Drosophila melanogaster: one gene and its partners. The protein of the gene in region 3 interacts with the protein of the main gene of each other region in a pairwise test. Each region holds a gene or a part of one and is shown on either strand. Other genes may lie near its edges.

Region 1 (5,985 bases), 8.1 Mb from region 3:
TGGAGAGGGGGAGGGTGGGAGTGGGCGGCAGGTTGTTGATAACAGGCCAAAAACAAAATCAATAAACACAGGCAGCGATATGAAGTCTGAAAAAGTCAACAAGTCTACTGGTCATCACTTAATTGTGATATTATCTACAGTTCTGCGGCTATGCTTGACTTATTTATGCAGTTTTTACCACTTGATTCCTCTTTTGAAGGCGGAACTTTTTTCCTTCCCACTGCCGCAATTGTTTTCTTTGTGTTTGTTTTGTTGAGCGGAAACAATATTTATGGTTTTCTATTTTCTAGGATTTGTCTTAACTCAAGTGGGTTTTCAGATTACACTCTTGGGAGTAATGTGCGTTATAATACTGATATTCTGATTATGATTTTTTATCCGCACAGCTGGACAGAGCTGCTATTAGTGATGGTACAACATCAACCTATCGAAACTATCGATGTATTCAACTTCTTATATCGCATCGATTGTTTTTTGCGTCTTGAATATATAATATATATTTTGTGATAACAATGCTATTATATATAAATGCCTACAAATTCTCTTATTCCATTCCTTTTCATAACTTTCACTAAAGCTGAAGTTATCTGAGAGAAGCCAACTTCAATGCTTCATCAGAAACAATTGGCTGATTAATACATTAATAATAATATATTTAAAATTAATAAAACATTATAAAATAACTGAAGACGTATCGTTTATGGATTAATTAAAAGGCATGGCAACGCTGGTTGCCCAACGTATTTATATCAAAAGGTGGCAGCGCATATGCGAAATTGAAAAGTGTGGCAATGTGGAATAACCGCCAAAACCTTTGGTATTTTAAAATTTCAACTTCCTTTATATTTGCCGACCCATTAAAATAAACTCAATTTGTTGATCCAAGGAAGAATATTTATTCCACGCTTTGTGCAATACACTTATATAAATACATTATACATGTAATACAAAATATTTTTGCTCCTCTCTCTGAGTGTGTGTGTAAAACATGTTGCAAAATTTGTCGGGTTAGCACAAAGATTCAATAATATATTAATTATAAAGAAATTTAAATGCGTTCGATTTCAGTTTTGAAGTATTCGATCGTTCAATATAGCGTAATTTCTTTTTTGTTTTCTTATTTTCGTTTTGAAGAGTACATAATTTTGTGTGTTTTTGGTTTTCTTTTGGGTACTTTTTTAGCCAGCATGCACAGACTGAAATGAAGAGAAAGGAAACGTAAAGTGAATCGAAACCAGGGAATTTATATCGCAAAACAAGGCTCAAATCAAACGAAGGTAGCAAACGAAAGCAGCGTCCTCCTGTCTACAAAGTCTTTTGATTGCCATTTGTTTTGGTTTCGATTGCGTCGTCATTCATTCACCTCGACGAGCTCTGAAGTTAGATAAATTCAGAATTGGAACGTACCCGAGCAATGTCCACGCCGGTTATGTTCTTGACCAGCTCTGGCACTTTGTTGACGATCGACAGAACCTCGCCGGTCAGCTTGGCAGCACCGATATCGCCAGTTCCGCTGGACACCATCGTGATCTTCTTAGCCTGTGACAGTGGAGCAGCCACCTCGGCGGCAACCTGCGAATTAGATTCAACATAGAATAAATTATAGATTCTTTTAATCTAACCATTGACAAACCTTTGGCAGTGTGTCCAGGAGCATCTCCACCATGGCAGCCTCACGGTACTCACGATAGGCCTCTGCCTTCATGGCCATCTGCTCGGCCTCTGCTTTAGCCTTGGCCGCAATGGCAAAGGCCTCAGCCTCACCACGAATCCTGATCTGTTGCAAAGAAGATGGAGATGCTTCAGTTAATCGTAGTCTATAAGCAAATATTTAGATGGTATCTAACCGATTCAGCCTCGGCCTCGGCTTCCATGACCACGCGCTGCTTGTTGGCCTCGGCCAATTTCTCCATGCGGAACTTCTCCGCCTCGGCCGGTCGGCGGATGGTGGCCTCCAGCTCTCGCTCGCGGCGCATGATCTCCTGCTCCTGGACGGCAATCTCCTGCGTGCGCTCGATCACCTTCACCTGCATCTGCTCCTCCTTGATGCGCTGCTTGGTCTTGGCCGCTTGCAGCTCGTAGGCCATCTCGGCCTCGGCCTTTTTGGTCTGCACTTCCACATCGTATGCTGCCTTCTTCAGCTCAAAGTCGCGCTGGGCCTTGGCAATATCGGTATCGTTGAGGAAGCGTGCGGCCATGCGTTGCTCCTCGGCAATGGCCTCCTTAATGTGGGCCTCCGCTCGGGCCTCAGCCTCGCCAATGCGGGCATCGCGCTTCACCTCCGCCGTGCGGGCCATACCCAATGACCTCAGGTAGCCCTGAAAATGGAAATTGAACGCGAGGAGTTAGTATCCCGATAGTTACACAAGAAGCTGAATTTGATGGACGTGTCCCAACGATTCCACGCACAGGCGGTTGGGCGGACATACGCACCTTTGAGTCGCCCTACAGAGGATCCATGTGGACATGCAAGAAATATATATATTCACATATATACAAGAGGTTATTTGAAAAAAGGGAGCTTTGAAGCCGGTACACAGTGATGGGAAAATCGAATAAAAAAAAGAAAATCTAAAATAGAAAATAAGTTTGAATATATATAGAATCACTGCAGAATTGCTAAATAAATTTTTGTTCAAGTATACAAAACCAAAACTAATATATATATAAAATACAGAACCTATTCCCATCACTGCTGATGATTGGGTTAGTTGTGCGGGGAGAGTGGTAAAAAGTAATCGGTTGGAACTACGCACCTCCTCATCGCGCAAATCCTTGATGGTGTAGGAAACCACGGTTATTCCCATGTTGGCCAAATCGCTGGAGGCCACCTCAAACACCTGCTTGCTGAACTTCTTGCGGTCCTTGTAGATCTCCTCCACGGTCATCGAACCCATGATGGCACGCTGATGCCCCTCCAGGGTGACCAAGGCGATGTGGTTGATCTCTGCCTCTGATTTGCCCAAGAACTGCTCACAGGCGGTCAGCAGCATGTCCTCGTTCTGACCCTGGACCTTCACCTGTGCAATGCCTGTCACCGAGATGGGCACTCCTTGGCTGGTGTACACGCAAGGACTCTCTACCTGGAGGGTCATCGTGTTCAACGAAATTCTGGGGAAGATTGGCGGACATTTAACATCTGAGGGCTTGTTATCTTAAGACTAGGGACTCAGATACGAAGCCAGAAATATTAACTAAATATTATCTGATAAAATAAGATTATTTTATTATAATTTAATATATTTTAATAAAACCGAATTCTTACGAATAATATTTCGAATACCCGCGCTTTTTAGCGCCTCCCTAACCTGTGGCTTTTCGTTGGAACCCCTGGTCTAAGCCGGTTAAAACTCACCGCTGAACCTGCTGGCCCACTGGCCAAACGAATGCTCGTCCTCCCGGCACCAAAAGCGGCTTCATGTAGCAGCACCCTGCGCAGAAAACAAACAAAAAACACTTTGTTTACAAAACATTGCAGCATTTGGATAACAGCACCGCAACGCCGTTCAAATGCGCACGCATGGCTTCGGACTGCCGCATATTCAGCTTCTTCCCCTGTTATCCCAACAACAACATTTGCGGTACACAAAAATCGATAGTGACGTCACTTGGGGTGGGGTGTATATATATGTGTGTGTGCGTGACAATTTCATTTTTATTCACTGACTTATTTATTTAATCGATTTGACATTATTTTGAGCATATAAGGATCGTGTGATTTACCAGAGACAACTAAAGCCTCGTTGGGGCCGCAGGTTACAAATCCCCAAGTCATTTCTGCAGCACTTATTTGTTATTTATATTAGAAAATGGGTTGCTGCTGATAACAGCTTTTGTTTTATCTGCGCGGTTAACACAGTTTTCCGATTATTAACTATATAGCGAATTATCCGATCCACAGGTAGCCTTGTTTATTCGTCTAATAATATATATAAAAGAATTTCCGAGGTACTCGGTGCTTAAGATTCAGAAATCCGACCGGTTCGGTTAGCAATTCGTAGCACAATAAAAAAATCTCTCAATCTGTAAAGTTCTCAATTTCTAACTCGCGAGTGCGCAGAACGACTTTAACCCCTATTGAGTGCCGGGGGTTGAGGCGACCACTTCAAAATATTCATCATGCTGCGACGACGTAGTGCTGCGGTAAGTGTCTTTATTGGTTTAAAAATCTAGGTTACATCTCAATTTTTTTTATTCTAATTTACTTAATGACTCATATCATTCAGAAAGATCGAAATTCTTAAAAATACACAATAAATGTAATAAGAAAATCGTCGACACTCATTAAATTTGGAAACCAGATGTATTGCCTAGTTTTTAGTCTTTGAAAACAGAAACTAGGATTTCAAATATTTTTTCCACATTCACACAAACAGTAGATATCGTCTAGGAATTTGAACAATTTTCGGATCTTAACGATACACTCAACATAAAAATTTTTAAGAATAAAACTATTTTACTGAATCAATAAGTATTTTATCGATAAATGTTAATTTGGCAGCTCAAATGGCTATATTAAGTGTCACATTGGTAGGGATTGTCATAAATCAAACCTTTTGCTTTGGTAAATCAAACTAATGAAATTATAAAGAACTTTTTATCTTATACTATAATCGAACTCTACTGCAAGGACATACATATATAATTAAAAGATCTTTGCTGGACAAAGTCTCGCATTTTGGCTTAAGTCTAATCAAAGGTCGTGAAAACAGTGGCTTGGAAAGAACCTTCCGACCTCAATGTCCCGAAGAGCTGCTGTCCGTAAAGTAGGGATGCTGCATCGCCGCCTCCGCGCTAATTCGCTGATTTGGCCGGCAGATGAGCAGCTTTTGCAGCAGGTCGCGTCCCTTGGAGTTTAGCCTAGGTACCAGCTGACTCCACGAGGTGATGGCCGGAAAAGCTATAATATAAATAGGCTTTTAATATTGGTATCGATAAATAAAATCCGTCTAGAATCCCTACATGGAAGCGCCACGTAGTCGGAGAGGTGCGAAACTCCTGGCCAGGAGTCCTCGTTGGGGGTGCCCAGCACACGGAAGATCTTCATCAGCTGATCGAGCACGTCAGAGCCAGGAAACAGCGGTCGTCCAGCGTCCGCCAGTTCGGCCAAAATGCATCCAGCGGACCACATGTCTATGCTGGTCGTATAGAGCTTGGCTCCAAATAGGACATCGGGTGGTCGGTACCACAGGGTCACCACTTCTGCGGAGTAGCACTTCACGGGAATGCCAAAGGCTCTAGCGAGACCAAAGTCAGCTAGCTTTAGCTCGCCGTTTTTGTTGATCAGCAGGTTCTGTGGTTTCAGATCGCGATGCAGGACATTATGGCTAAAATAGGATAATGTAGCGTAAGTTAAGTCTCAATGCTATAAAATGGATATCATTCGGAAATGTGCCACAGATGAAGTTACTCCAAATAACACTTGATTCTAACTATAATCGACACAAGATAAGACCTAATCCAGTGCTGATACATATATAGGTATACCTGTGGCAGAATGCCAGTCCGCGGAGCAGTTGGAGCATAAAGCTCCTGCAGACGGCCATGTCGATCTCCCCGTTGAGGCTGTCAAAGTACTTCTTGAGGTCCTGGTCGCAGTGCTCGAAGACCAGGGTGAGTTTCTTGTCCGAGTGCAGGACGTCTATGAGGCGCACAATGTTCTTGTGCTTCAGCTCCTACGGATGGTAATGTGCCGATTTAGTTTATAAACTGGAATCACTTCCTGCTCGTCCGACTGACCTTCAGCAGGCAGATCTCCCGGAGGGCAGAACTGGGCACACCCTCGTCGTCCTCGTCCAGTCGCACCCGTTTCAGGGCCACTATTTCCATGGTGTCGCGGTTGCGACCCTTGAACACCGTGCCGTAGGTGCCCTCCCCGATCTTCTCCATTTTATCGTACTTCTGCATTTTGCTGTGTTTTGGTGTGTATTATTTTGCGTTCAGATGGAAAACTCCGGGGATTATTGTTTTTGCAGTTTGTTTTTG
Region 2 (5,208 bases), on a different chromosome or scaffold from region 3:
AAAAAGTTTTTACTTGAAAATGTGATATAAAAATGTATAAAGATACAAATGTATCTTAGGCTCGTAATCACTGCTCTGGAAAGTCCTGTTCTACATTTTTGAGATTTTTGTAATTAAGAGATACATTTTTCTTTCTCTGCATTTGTATCTGTTTATGGGCAGCAGGGCAACGCTTGGATTCTAATTGTCGAAGTCGTCATTTGTCGTCGCTTTTTCATTGGCGTCATCCATTGCTGTCGTCGGGGTGTGAGATTTAAGTCGGTTTATCGACAGCATCGTCGCCGATTTTGGTTGCGTATTGTCGCCTATATGGCACCTCCCCCCCCCTATTTATGCTCCCCCCTGAAAGCCCCACCGATTGATCATCATCATCATCATTGTACGCTGCCTTTGTTTGTGCGGCTCGCGTATTTCTTCAATAAATTTTCAGTTTATTCGGTTTATTTATTTACTTATATTTGCTATTGCTCTTTAGCTCGTATCCACCGCCCCACTTCAGTTCACAATTCCCTTTCCATTTTGGCTTCTTCGCTTTTCGCTTTGTTTTCTCGCAGCCTTATGATTATTTTTCTCAGTTTCCACCTCCGAAGAGCCCCATTCCCTCCAAATCTTCGCCCTCCATCGTCTCCGTCGCTCGCGTAATTGAATTTCAACTTGTTTGCATTGTCGACGATGATGATAATTCGTCGGGGTATTTTGCGTATTGAGATCAGGGCCTCATCAATTAGTAAATTAATTTTATGCTCGCCGCTTTATGGAAATAAAGTTTTGCAGCATCCGAGCCGAGGAAAGTGGAAAATCAGAGGGATGAGCACAGGAAGCAAGCTTAAGATTGAAAATCTTGTTTGTTTACTCAGTTAGAAAATCGCCTGGAATTCTTGAGATATTCATCCCGAAGGCCGTCGTAAAAATCCTTAATCAATTTATGGCTCTTTTGTGTTCTGAACAATTTAATTAAGTTCTTTAAGGCACTGCAAACTACTTTGTTGTATACAAATGAACAAATATTAACCTTTTACTGCTAACGAAACTAAACAAATATAAAAAATGTTAGTCTTGAACTGAGCAATATTATTATAAATTTTAAATATAATTACTATGCAATACTGCAGCTCTTCAAATAACAAATGTATTTTAACTTAACTACCACTTCCCGCACATTTTTCAACTAGTTAACTTTTATTTGTCCCATTTTACAGAATGAAATGTCAGTAAATATTTTTGTAATTATTCGATTTATTTTTTGCGCCATTTGACGTACCAAAATTTCAATTATAATCAGCTTTGGCTTTATTTAAATATGGCACACATTTACCAACCAACCACCACTCCCACTTTTAGCTCATTATTTATTTTCTACTGTCCGTTTCCCACGGAAAGTTGCAATTATCATATTTGACTTTTCCGCATAAATTCTGTGAATTATCTCACCGCAACTATTTTTATTTGTTTTAATTATTATTATAGTAGTTTTAGCAAATGTATTTTGTTGCCATTTTATTTTTTGTGTTTCACAAAATATTACAGAACTCGAACGGAATGTTTGTGCCATTGATTCGTATTTGCGGTTGGCAAACCGAAACGAAATGTGCAACAAATTATTTCTGATATTATTATTTATTTATAGAAAAAGCTGAAAATAGAAAAAAAGTCATCAGCAAAATATGATATGTGACAATTCAATCACAAATCGAGATAGGAACCCTCTCTCAATTTTATATATTTTTTTGTTGTGTTGATCCCAAATGCAAAAATTGCCCGTTAAAATGCAATCTTCATTATTTAATTTATTTGAATTTTTGCTGGCAATAAATATTCATTTCTGACCGTAGTGGGTGTTGGCCTCTGTAGATATGGGAAAATTGTATGCAAATACAATTAAATGTTTTCATATGCATTTTGTGTGCTCCTCGATTTGATTGCTGCCAAGGGATATGTCTTGTTCAAACGGTTTACGTGGCGTATACTTGATATTATGTATTTTCTATGAATGTGCAATTTTTATTTATTATGCCAAGCAATTGAGAAAGAAAGAAAGATTAATCAAGAGCTTTGAAGAATATGTTATATATATATATATTGGGTTTGAATACTTTCCGCTCGAGCCCATTGAATATTTAAACATTACAATTGCTGTGGTGATTTCTGGCCATTTTAATCTGCTGCTAAGTCCCACTTTTGTCCGGTCAATGTGTAAATCAATAATGCATTAAAAACTTATTAGAACAAACAAGGATTCATTAGGCGCAATCTGTGTTCGTCCGTTTCGCAGTTGTTATTTATATCGATATAACAAGGTAATAACTGCACACTTAAGTATGCAAATAGCCTGGCCCGCACCTTCGTCCTTGTATGCCTGTGTGTGCGTGCGTCTGTGTTTGCACATGCAAATGTTATCATTTGTGATTAGTTACAGTCCTGAAATGCTAATGCCCCTTGACAAGCAACAGCAACAACCGCAAGACAACTCACTTTCGGGTTAACTGGAATGCCAGCCAGTGTATGTCTGTGTATGTCTGTACATCTGTGTGCCTTTGATCCTTATGAATAGTCAGCCAGCCGGAGGACGAGCCGAATTTGCCCCGGCTGGCATTGTGCTTCGCTCTGAATTATTTACACAAATCCAACTGCAATCGTTTGTCAATTTGCCAATTGACAGTGAACATAATTGATGGTGATTAAGGGTGAACGTAGTAGGTAAAGAAGGTGGGATTGCTTTATGAAGTCATTCGCTTGGCAAAAGATTGTTATGTTGTAGTGTGAGGCCATAGATTTGGTAAATTATTGTCGTACCGTTACTATTGTAAGTCTCAAAACTGAAAGACTTATCTTAACACTGTAATTATAAATACTAATTCGATATCTATGATATATATATAGTCTATTATATCTAAGGATAACATACTTCCCTCCGTTGAGTGCATCCTGCAACTGCTTCAAGCATCGATCGATTTTTCTTTCCCTCACTTGTGAGCCATATTTGGATGACGAATAGGGATCGAACAGGAATGGAAAATAGGGATGTGGGTCAAACGTTAAAACGGAAGTCGAATCATCTTTGGTGATTTCCTCCTTGACTTTCTCCTTTCTGGACTCCTTCACTTGTTCCACCTTTTCACTCATTTCGCCACTTGCCAATCTGCGTTACGTATACGCCACGTTGAACAAACCACGTCTAATCGAACCGAGATTTTTTTACCGCACTTCCAAACGCATCGAACTCTCTTTGGCAACTGCCGTCTAGTTCTTTGTCCAACTTCCTCTGCGATTAATTTTTATTAGTAGTGCCTCCAGTGCCTGGCAGTAGTTATTACAGTTGGCCAGCGCACATCTTAGCCATAGGTGGACTAATCACCAGCGCCATCAGCTGCAGTCTTACAGCAACGGCTGGCACTCGATTGCCTTCACCACCCATTCTGAAGGCCACGCGAAGCTTTTTGCATATTGCGTATACGTCATGTGCGTCCGGGATCGAGTTTCATTTCACGGTAATATATGAAAAATTCCTGGTAATGCAATGCGATCCCCAAACTGATTGCTTTAATGGTTTGTTGACTCAGTTAGCTGGCGAATAACAGCAGCTACTGTCAGCGTATTTCTATAAACTCTTAAAGTCGGGTTTTAAGTACATTAGACCTTGTGCTGTGATCCTCATATGAGTGGAATATTCCTACTGTGCGATTTATTGAGAGTGCTGAAAATATACTTTTCGAAAAATTTTCAATAAAAATATTGCAATCTGCTATTACTGCGAAATATCTTCTTAATTCATATCAATGAATGTATTTCATCAATGTAAATTCCCATTTGTATGGGATATACTTAGAAAATTATAGACCATCTCTATGAAAATTCTTTGCAACACAATAGTAACTCAATTCATTCAAATAATAAGGGAATTTTTAAACTCGTCGAGTTTTCTAAATGATCTAGTTTTATTAAAAGAGTAATATAAGTATATACCTTAACTTTCCGCTTTCTTCGCAATACACTTTGGGGTAATTCCTCAAATATTTTCGTCGTTCGTCGGTCTAGCTGGGAAAATTGAGAAGTGAGAGGTGGAAAAAGTGACCTCATTTGGCATAGGACCTCATTTCCTAACGCCCAACGAACCGCTATTTTTTGTTGTACGTCGCAGTTAAGTGTCCTTTCGCATTTCGTTTGCTTGGTGTTTGTCCTGTTTTGTGGGCGGTTGATTTGCTCCTTGGCTCCTCCCGCATCCTGTTCGTCCTGCCCTTGTTTTGCTTTCGGCTTGGTGCCCATGTAACTTGCTGGAAAATTAATAATAATAAAAAAACACCTACCACGGGGTGGGAGTACACGCGTGACCCTATTAAATGTGTGCTAATAAAAGCTTGGCAGCTCCGAAAAAAAATCCAAGGAAAATAAGGGAAACACGCAGGGGCAAGAGCGCAGATAGCTGACCAAGTGCGTAATGTTGGACAGAATATTTCTATGCCCAAGTGGTGAAGAAGTCTTGCTTACAAATTTCTGAAGTGTACAATGGACGATGAAATTACTTAAAAATTCACGAAGAAATGCGAAAGATGACGATGATGATGGGGTGGGGAAAACAAAATCAACGCTCACAAAAGCGGAAACATTTAACGGGGGCGGTGGTGGGTTGATGGTGTTTCTATTTACGCTAAAGGTCAACTTTTTCCATTTGCAGCTTGGTCATTTATAAAATCTTTCGGTATTATTAAGCAAAGCGAGGAAAACCAACTAAGAGGATGAAGTGGTGGAAAGGACTAAGGAAGTACATAAAGAAAACCCAAGGAGGACCAAAGCCGAGTTCTGTTGTGTCCGCGATTTATCAAATTAATGAGTATCATTTTATTTTCATTTCATTTTCTATGCGCCAGCACAAAAAGCGAAGGACGAAATCTCCGAAATTCCAGCAAGGAGTGGTCCAAAAGGAGAGCTTCGAAAATTAAGGTAACTTTTTGGCAAAGCCAAAGGAAAAATGAGTGGAAAAAATGTATAAAAAAGAAATCAAAATAAATGAGAAAGAAACGGACAAGGACAGGTCAAAGTGGAATCGAGGGAAGATTCCTTTCCATCTACGATAGCAAACATTAGAAAAAAATATTCAGAATGAGGCCGACTTGTGAAGTACCCTAAATCGGCAAAAAAGTATTACTAGCAGGATAAATATTTCAAAATAATGAAATTGTTGATTTTAGTTTAATTAAATCTCAAAGACAT
Region 3 (5,508 bases):
GTGAGGGAAATCCATTTGATTAGTTATTGAAACTCTTTTAATTAAGTCTTTACAATTATGGGTAAGTCAGAAAGTTTCCCACTTGGATTATGCTTGCAGTTAGCTGAAGAACATGCGTAAATACCCTTGAATCTGAAGCATGGGAAAACGGCATGGAAAATACTCAGTTTTGTTTGTGACTACTTGTAATAAGTAGGTAAAAGTAGAAGATTGCACAAATTAACGGCAAGCAAGCTTAACAGACTGCAGTTGCAATTGTGTTGCTGCTGCACTTGCTGCAGTTGTAGTGGCTGCTGCAGTTGCTGTTGCGAGTTCAGTCACCTCGTCTTGCGCCCATAGAAATGACTATGATTAAAGCAGCATTCGCGGATACAACAAACAACACAACTTTTAAACTATCCGCATTAAACATGAAATAATGTACTAAACTTTCAATTTACTTATTTGAATCTGTTCAAATAAGTGCTTAAATAAACTTTTATCGAATTACTGGAATCTGCGAAGCGTACAGCTGATCGAATTAATAATGGTAGTGGCCGCAGGTCATTGGAAGGACCATGACTGTTGTTTTTGTCGCAAAAGGACGAATTCGATTGAGTTTACAGACCGATTCAGTTGTTTCTGGCGCTCGAAAGCCGCTTAACTGATTGCAACATTGATGGAAGCACATATCAATTGCCCTCTCAGCCGATGGTTCAAGTGATTTCCCATCACACACTCGTACACCCAATCACTCAACACACATAAACACACACACAAGCACAAGCGGCAATCTTAATGCGCCTGGCAACAACTAAAAGACATCAACAACATCGCGAGCAACAGTTGTGCGAGTGCGAGTGCATGAGTATCTGTATCTGCGTGAGTATCTGTGTGGCGCGCGCCAGTGTGTAGAGTATCTGTGTGCGACGGCTACATAGCAACCGTTTATCATAATTGGCATTAACTGCCAGCCATTCCTCAATTCTTTTCGGCCCGTAGCATTACGTATACGCCGGGATGGCCGATGGCCTGGCATGGCGAAGAGAATTCATTGCCGAGCAGGGGCCTTAATTCGCAGGCTCAGTTCGTTTTCGTTCTTCTTGTTTGTCTGCGAATTACGCCCATGTCGGCGTACTTGATTGTTTCACCGCATGTATTGTACGAGTGTAACAATGGATAGTATCGTGTGTATGGCCGCAAGGACCATGTCATTTGCAGTGCCGAACATTTAACTCGAATGCTGCCCGACAAGCTGCCTAATTAGTGGATGGCCAACTCGAAATAGAACTGGAAAAAGCTGAAGCCGCGAGAAGCGGGTAATGGAAACCGTAAACAAACGCAGCCAGCAAAGTGAACAAATGCCCTCAGCAGTTTACCAAAAACCGCGTGCGAGGCTTCGCCTTCGCAGTGGGGCGGAAAGAGAGGGCGAAACGCTCGGCAAGCGAACACGCCGCCTAATTTAGATTCCCGTGCGGTAGGTCAAGTGCCAATTTCCTCAACTTGAAGTTGTGTGGCAGCAGCAAATCCAATACTGAACGAATTGAATCAGTGTGTCTTCCATTCGATTCTGTTTTCTGTATACGCATCTTGGCCCAGGAACCTGTTGCGCTGACTTGACAGCCCGTCAATCCGCAAAGTCCCTGGCACTGGCCAAAAAATGGGAAAACAGCCGGAATTGGCCAACAACCGCAGGTTTCACATGTGCAATCTGCCAAAGATTTGTGAGGATTTTGTGGGAAGCGATGCTGCAAACCCAATAGCATGAGCTTCTACTCCAGTCGAGAGTTGTGCACTGGGGAAGGGAATGGTTTCTCTATAGATTCAATAGAGAATTCAAATATTCAAAAATAGCCAGTTATTTATGTATGAAGACATTAAGTGGGGCACTGCAGATAAATGCGAGTGGCAACCTATGTTAGGGGAATACCAGCTTAAGGATATATTTTAACCAATTCTAAAGTGCATTTTGTTTCTTGCAGTGCCTTGGGTTTTTTTCCATTACGACAATCCCTAAGGAACATTCCATTTCATCGGAAAAGCCTCTTAGTAACAGTCCTGGCCTCAAAGGACATTTGCAAATGTATTGGGGAAAACTGGAGTACTGTATAGATGGAACCTTTCTTACTTACCCTTTGTTCGCCGGACTAACAGTCTCTACATTTGCTTGATAGCGATGTTTGTAATCTCCTTTAATTTCGGTTCATTTGCCCGAGGGGCACACAGCTACTTTCTTGTGGTGTTTGTCTTTACAATCGCAGATAGAGCGCTTCTTTCGCTCGCGTTTTTGATAACACAGAACATATATGATGTAGTAACTAATTGCTGGAAATCGGCGAAGGGCTCCGAAACTTAAGACACGAAAACTGTGGATAAAATGTATTGTTTTGATCAGAGGAAACGAAGAAAGTTGGTACTCGATTTTCGTCCGTTTTCGTTTATAATTTAATTTACGCGCTCACTAATTATGTAATGCCCTCTCCCCTAATACCCCGAAAAAACCGAAGAACCGATTGCATTTGGCGCGAAAATAGACAACGGCAAGCGCAGAGATAACAATAATAGTTTATATTTAAATTTGAACAACAACGGCGGTCAGCATCGTTTAATTTGTTTACGCGGCTCGAGCTCGTTATTATTCGACTATGAGGCCAATCTAATTTATGCTCCGCCGCCTTGTTGTTGTCTCAGTTTTGGGTTTGATTTGGTTTGGTTTGCTTTAGTGCCACTCTGACTGGGCTGCTTTGCAGGAGATTTCTGTAGTAATTTTCCATGCAATAACAATGATTTTCGCTTTTTTATTTTTCTCTATTTTTCTTATTTTTTTAATTTTTGGCGCTATCTACATTTCTTGTTTTGCGCCGCCTGCAGTTGCGTTTGAGCGCGTATCCCCCCGAGGGAAATGGAAATTACCAGAAGTAACAGAAGCAACAGAAGAAACGGAGGCGAGAACGAACCAAAGGGGAATAAAAATAAAAACGGTTATCCGATGTTTTCGGAGCTTCCTGATTTCCCGCGATCTTGCGCTGAGAGTGGGAGCAGATATCGGGCGTCTGTAGCGCGTCTGGATTTCCCGGTCTTCCGCTTTTCTAGCCGGACAACTGAACGCGGCCAGCGACAAACTTCAACTGAAGCAGCTCGACTCGAATCGAATCGCGGCGAAACGAAATGAAACGAATCGCAACGAAACGATACGAAACGAAACAGCTGGTATCGCAGCCCCAAAGCCCCACAGTGCAACAACAACAGCTGACGGGGGCGGAGAGCCGAAGAGAGTGCGCCACACTGCGCGAAAAGTCAAGCACTTAAATCACCAACTAATGCAATGCTAGTTATATGGCCTTTAACAGCGATTTCGTAGCTTAAAAGGATCTGCATGCAAGAAACTTATTTTCATTGTATCTAATTATACCTTTGCGTTTAATAATTTAAAGGAGAACTTCTTTAGATTTCAATTATTTGTTTTCTGTGTAAGCTTATTACGAGCAACGAGCGAGAGAGCAAGTGTGTGGGACAGAAAGAGCAGGCAAAGCAGCAACAGGCAGAGGCAGAAGCAGTCTGACCATTTTCCTGAGGGGCTGGGGGTGGGGAGAGTTGCTCTGTAGGCGCAGGAGAGACGGTCGCTATGACTCTTTGTTGCACCTACTTTGTTGCCGTTGCCAAGGGTGAGAGCTAAGCTGCATGCCGAATACGCTACACAAAACAAGATATAGAGACTGTCATATCCGAATTGTTGCTTTTTATAGTTTCTATAATCTATTTATTGAAACTTGTTACAAAAGCGTGCTAACGCACGAAAAGTAGGAGACATATTCCTTCTCAACCTTCTACTTTCTTCTGTAGCGTAGGGTACCCAACTAAACCAATACACCCCGTACAAATGTACAGTTCTTTTCTTCGCCCTGCCTCTCTGCTCCTCCAATTCTTTTTAGTTCAACATATGTGAGGAGCACATGGAGCGACAGCAACACAAACAGCAGCAGCAATAACAATAATAGCAACAATAGCAACAATAACAACAATAACAACAATGACAACGCAGCGACGACGCTCCAAATGATTGAACTTAAATGGCAGAGGCCTAGAAAGCAGGGTGTGCGTGTGTGCGTCGCAGTGTTTGTGGATGCAAATGTGTGCCCGGTTATCAACACTTTTTAGTCGCTAGCCCTCCTATCTCCAACCTACTCCCCCTTTGCCACGCCCCTTTCCCCCTCCCACATTCTATCACCATGCTAGGGCCCAACAAAATAGTCAGCATTTGCGGGCGTTCAAAGCTCAAAGCAAAAGCAAAGAGGCCACAGTCAGCCCTCTGTGTCGTGATCCAATATCTCTGTCCACAATAATCAGCACAAGAGGCGATAGTTTCGAACTCAAATGGGATTAATCCTCACTGGAATACAGCTCAAAACTGTTCGAAACTGCCAGCATGTAGGGATGTAGAGTCACTAAACTGAAAGCTTCTAGCAAGATATCAAATGGTTTTCAACAAAGCATGCTTTGCAAGCAAAAATGGCACTAGCAACTTTACGAACTTAGGTATTAACTACACTTTCACACAGTAGAACCTCCACTGTACCTGAAGCTCGGCAGAAAGACTTCGCAGAGCCATGGAACCCGCCTTGTTTACCCTACAGAGACTTTTTCCGGCTCGAGAGCCTCTGAACTGCCCCGCCTCCGTTTCTTCCGCCCATAGAGCGAGTATCATACGAACTGCAATAAGTGGCGGCGATAAATAAAGTACCCGTCCCCATTTTCATTTTATAGCCAGATCGTGAGACAATAAAATGCAAAGGCAATGAGTGCGCTGCTGGCAAGAGAAATTAATAAGCACTCGAGTGCAAAGTACTGCTCGCCGCTCGCCACTATCACTATCATAGGCCGAATGCTGTTGATTTGCATTACAGCGGCGGAGTGGGGGAAGTCGCTTATCAGCAATGGGAGCCACAGCAGCAGCGGGCTGATAGTGATAACAGCGCCGATACCGAAATACACACGTTGTGTCGGTGTGCGTGGCGTAGATTATTGTTATTATTGATTAATAAACAATTGTCTCACTCGCACAGAAAGTAGCTGAGGCTGTACGTATGTTGGTTTGTCTACACACATGGGTACATCTGTCGACTAAGGCGACGCGACCGATAAGGAGTGACCGATTTAGTTCTATAGTTCATGCGGAGATAGCCAACTCTTCGGACGCGATTGACCCACAAATATGGGGCGACAAACATGAAAACATATGCTTAAACTTATTTTGGTACGGGCCCCAAGAAAAAAGCACAGATCACTTAAATTAGTCAATATGCATGACTTGCCACATTACGCACGACTATCAGTATGTTTTATTATTTACAATTGTATAAACCTTTTAAATTATTTTATATTTAATTTGAATTACTCTCTCGAGCATGTTCTTTCTCCAGCGAAATGATGTATTCAAGCATATAAGCTTAATTAATGCTGGCATACATAATTAGTTTTGCTATCAAGGGACACACTTCAACATTTTTGCTAAAAAAAAGGGGAAACAAA
Region 4 (3,808 bases), about 14 Mb from region 3:
CGCAACAATTTCCACAAAACAAGTGACCTTTAAAACAGAGCTGCGCAAAAAATATATGAAAGCAATAAGTATTATGTAAACTAGTTTTAAGCTTTGGATACGGAAAGATAATTAAAATATTTCTAAGATGGCCGTTAAATATGTTAATTTATAATTTTTGGCGAGAATTTACAATTGTTCGCTGAATATTTTTATGAAAATAAAATAGAATTAAGAATATGGTTTTGTTATTTGTAGTAAAAAGGTGATAACGAGTTTTGGATTTCAAATGTTATGGAGTTATTGAAATAAAAATAAAATATGGTGGAAACCTTTTACTTTTTATAAATGACGTTCATTTTGAAATTGAAAAAAAAGAAAAGAAAACGATTTTTTTTTTAAATATCCGGTTTGGTATATCTGGTATTATTTATGGTTCGCGAGGTATATCGGTATATTTTAGTGGTCGATCTACGGTCACGCTGAAATATTTGTACACAATAAAAACCGGCTCGTTTTTTCGCTGAAAAAGGTAATAAACTAAAGTTAATGAACGCAAACGAAACAATCGGTGAAGTTAATCGACAAATGAGATGCATAATCCCGCGTTGCATTTTGGTGGATACAGAAATAGGCCAGAAATCGCGATTTCCACACCGCACCCATGACGTGTCACTCGCCCACTTCGTTTCTAATCAATTAGTTTGTTTTTATCCATAGAACGTGTTACTGTCTGCAAAATGATCACCGACGTGCAATTGGCCATTTTCTCCAACGTTCTGGGCGTATTTCTGTTCCTGCTGGTGGTTGCCTATCATTATATTAATGCCAATACCGGAAAGTAAGTAATCCCACTTGGTGAAGAAGAGGAAGAAGACAGCCCGGAATCAACAATAAAACCGATTTTCATTTATTTACAGGCCCAGTGCCAAGGCAAAATGATGTAGGATGTTTCCGCTAACAGACTAATATAGTTCTACCAGGATAATGATAATGCTGCTTCATTCGCAAAATAAATATGTAGTTGTACAAATCTAATCCAGGATGTCGTTAATGGCCTCCTTCATGGCCTGGACATCGTCCAGTGTTTTGCCAGATCTCTGATCTTTGCCTGTGTAGAAACTCCTCTGCGTTTGATGTCCAAAGCTGAAGGCCTTGACGTAGGGCAAACTTTTAGTTTCCTCTATCACCTCGTCCACCTCCATGGAATTGGGTTTGCTTTTGCCTTGATGCTTCTGTTTGCCCCTATTCTTGCTATGATCAAAGCGATAGTTTGCCGGAAGCTTGTGCGTTATGATGCAGTGATCCTTGCGCTGCCGGGCAGTATGAAACTTGATGGTGCACTCTTCCAGAAAGCAGGAAAACATGGGCTTGTCACCGCGCTCCACGCTGGCGGCAAAATAGCAATCGTGCTGTTCGGTGATGTGCAGATCCAGTAGATGGGCAGTGGGCAGCATTTTTCGGCATTCTACGCAGCTGTAGCTCTGCTCCTTATCTATGTTGTCCCTGATCCTAGCTGCCGCCGCATCCTGCTCGCCCAAGATGTCATCGATGTCCACGAGAACGCCGAGTTTCTTGAAGGGCGCCAAACTGGGTGCAGGCGGATCCGTGGGCTTTATGAATCCCGCTGGCACTTCGCTTAGTATCCTGATGATTTGCTCTCTGGAGAGAAGTGCTACTCCCGCAGCTTCCGAATCCATTTTGTTTGTGTTGCCAAAATGTTTTGTTTTGGTTCCTACGCCAGTTTCAACATGTTTCCACTGTACTGCCTCTTGGAAGATGTGATTTTGTTTAATTTATATAAAAATTAAAAATAATTTCCTTTTGAATTGAAATAGTAATACAATTTTTGAAGTGCATACGTAAAATAGACATAATTAATGAATTGAAATACTCGCTCATATTTTAGATGGATATATTTCTATATTAAACAACTGCAATTAAGTTGAAACATCTTAAATGCCTTTGAAATGATGCCACATCGCCAGACTTAGTTACGCGGGCTGGCATCGCCGTGCAGCACATGTGAACCTAAACTGGTTCCGCCCGAGAACCGGTTCTTTTTGGAATACGAAGCTGACACCGCGTGGTGTTTTTGCTTTCGATTCCGCATTTATTTTCCTTTCGACGCGTGGAAAATAAACAAATCCTGCCAAGATGAGTCTGTACAACTTCAAAAAGATCATGGTGGTTCCGCCAGCAAAGGTAAGGTGTACCCAGCAGCGCCCGTCCCGCGGAGCACCCCTTGAAGCAAAGACATAACCTCACTGGAGGTGTTTACCAATATGCGCAATATGTAAATAATATTTTATTTTTTGCCCTTTCCACAGGACTTCATCGACATTATGCTGTCGAAGACACAGCGCAAGACCCCGACGGTGGTCCACAAGGGCTACAAAATATCCAGAATCCGGGCATTCTACACGCGCAAGGTGAAGTACACGCAGCAGAACTTCCACGATCGCTTGTCGCAGATCATTCAGGACTTTCCCAAACTGGACGACGTGCATCCTTTCTACGCCGACTTGATGAACGTGCTGTACGACAAGGATCATTACAAGCTGGCGCTGGGTCAACTCAACACAGCCAGGCATTTGGTGGACAAGTGAGTGCCAAAGTCACAGATCCCCAAACGAACAAGGTTCGATTAACTATTCTATTTTTTATCCCGCAGTGTGGCCAAGGACTACGTGCGCCTGCTGAAGTACGGTGACTCGCTGTATCGCTGCAAACAGTTGAAGAAAGCTGCCCTGGGTCGCATGGCCACCATTATGAAGCGACAGGCCTCCAATCTGACGTATCTGGAGCAAGTGCGTCAGCATCTCTCGCGTCTGCCCACCATCGATCCCTATTCGCGTACCATCATCATCTGCGGTTTCCCCAACGTGGGCAAGTCCTCGTTCATCAACAAGATCACCCGCGCCGATGTGGAAGTGCAGCCCTACGCCTTCACCACGAAATCCCTGTACGTGGGACACACAGACTACAAATATCTGCGCTGGCAGGTCATTGACACACCCGGCATCCTGGATCATCCCCTGGAAGAGCGCAATGTGATCGAAATGCAAGCCATTACTGCCTTGGCTCATTTGCGCGCCTGCGTCCTGTACTTCATGGATATCTCCGAGCAGTGCGGACACTCCTTGGAGGAACAGGTCAAGCTGTTCGAGAGCATCAAGCCTTTGTTTACAAACAAACCCCTCATCCTGGCCATCAACAAGATCGATATTCTAACACCAGAGGATCTGCCAGAGGAGCGACGAGCGATTATCACCAAACTACAGGAGGACAAGAACATTCCCGTAATGCTCATGTCCACCGTACAGGAAACCGGTGTCATGGAGGTGAAAACCGAGGCATGTGAGCGTTTGCTCTCGTACCGTGTTGACCAGAAGATGCGCACAAAGAAGGTGGACAACATCCTGAACCGCTTGCATGTGGCGATGCCAGCGCCGCGAGATGACAAACTTCGTGCACCCTGCATCCCAGAAAAGGCCTCGGCGCGCCTGCTACAGAATGCCGACAAGGCAGAGCGCAAGCGCAAGCTGGAGAAGGAGATCGAGGAGGAGATGGGCGACGACTACACGCTGGACCTCAAGAAGAACTACAGCGAAATCCCCGAGGAGGAGCGCTACGACATTATTCCAGAGTTCTGGCAGGGTCACAACATTGCCGACTACATCGATGCCGACATCTTCGACAAGCTGGAGGAGCTGGAGCGCGAGGAGGGACTGCGGGAGGAGAGCGGCGTCTACAAGGTGCCCGATATGACCATGGACGAGACGCTCAAGGAGATCCGCGAGATAGCCAAGCAAATCCGTGGCAAGCG

The links.
Region 1: the proteins of Sesn (region 3) and Flo1 interact in a two-hybrid assay, tested with the Drosophila melanogaster proteins (one large-scale study listed by BioGRID).
Region 2: the proteins of Sesn (region 3) and tna interact in a two-hybrid assay, tested with the Drosophila melanogaster proteins (one large-scale study listed by BioGRID).
Region 4: the proteins of Sesn (region 3) and l(2)k10201 interact in a two-hybrid assay, tested with the Drosophila melanogaster proteins (one large-scale study listed by BioGRID).

What each region holds. Positions count from the first base shown.
Region 1 is NT_033778.4:15,565,396-15,571,380, forward strand, and holds Flo1 (flotillin 1), read right to left. Parts: upstream 4,010-5,985; 5' UTR 3,776-4,009; coding exon 3,724-3,775; exon of another isoform or gene 3,565-3,723; intron 3,432-3,564; coding exon 3,356-3,431; intron 3,112-3,355; coding exon 2,757-3,111; intron 2,446-2,756; coding exon 2,434-2,445; intron 2,319-2,433; coding exon 1,848-2,318; intron 1,778-1,847; coding exon 1,634-1,777; intron 1,573-1,633; coding exon 1,408-1,572; intron 1,197-1,407; coding exon 1,179-1,196; 3' UTR 876-1,178; downstream 1-875. Other genes in the region: CG30466 (uncharacterized protein), read left to right, coding at 4,120-4,143; Cdk5 (Cyclin-dependent kinase 5), read right to left, coding at 4,737-4,900, 4,963-5,327, 5,488-5,675, 5,740-5,907. UniProt on the Drosophila melanogaster protein: May act as a scaffolding protein within caveolar membranes, functionally participating in formation of caveolae or caveolae-like vesicles.
Region 2 is NT_037436.4:10,833,443-10,838,650, reverse strand, and holds the start of tna (tonalli), read right to left. Parts: upstream 3,124-5,208; coding exon 2,906-3,123; intron 1-2,905.
Region 3 is NT_033778.4:23,711,503-23,717,010, reverse strand, and holds the start of Sesn (sestrin), read right to left. Parts: upstream 3,112-5,508; 5' UTR 2,893-3,111; intron 2,346-2,892; exon of another isoform or gene 2,331-2,345; 5' UTR 2,112-2,330; intron 1-2,111. UniProt on the Drosophila melanogaster protein: Functions as a negative feedback regulator of mTOR function.
Region 4 is NT_033778.4:9,396,960-9,400,767, reverse strand, and holds l(2)k10201 (lethal (2) k10201), read right to left. Parts: upstream 1,689-3,808; 5' UTR 1,680-1,688; coding exon 1,014-1,679; 3' UTR 922-1,013; coding exon of another isoform or gene 900-921; 3' UTR 869-899; downstream 1-868. Other genes in the region: CG33774 (uncharacterized protein), read left to right, coding at 720-820, 900-921; Non1 (putative nucleolar protein 1), read left to right, coding at 2,137-2,184, 2,310-2,584, 2,654-3,808. UniProt on the Drosophila melanogaster protein: Vital for development.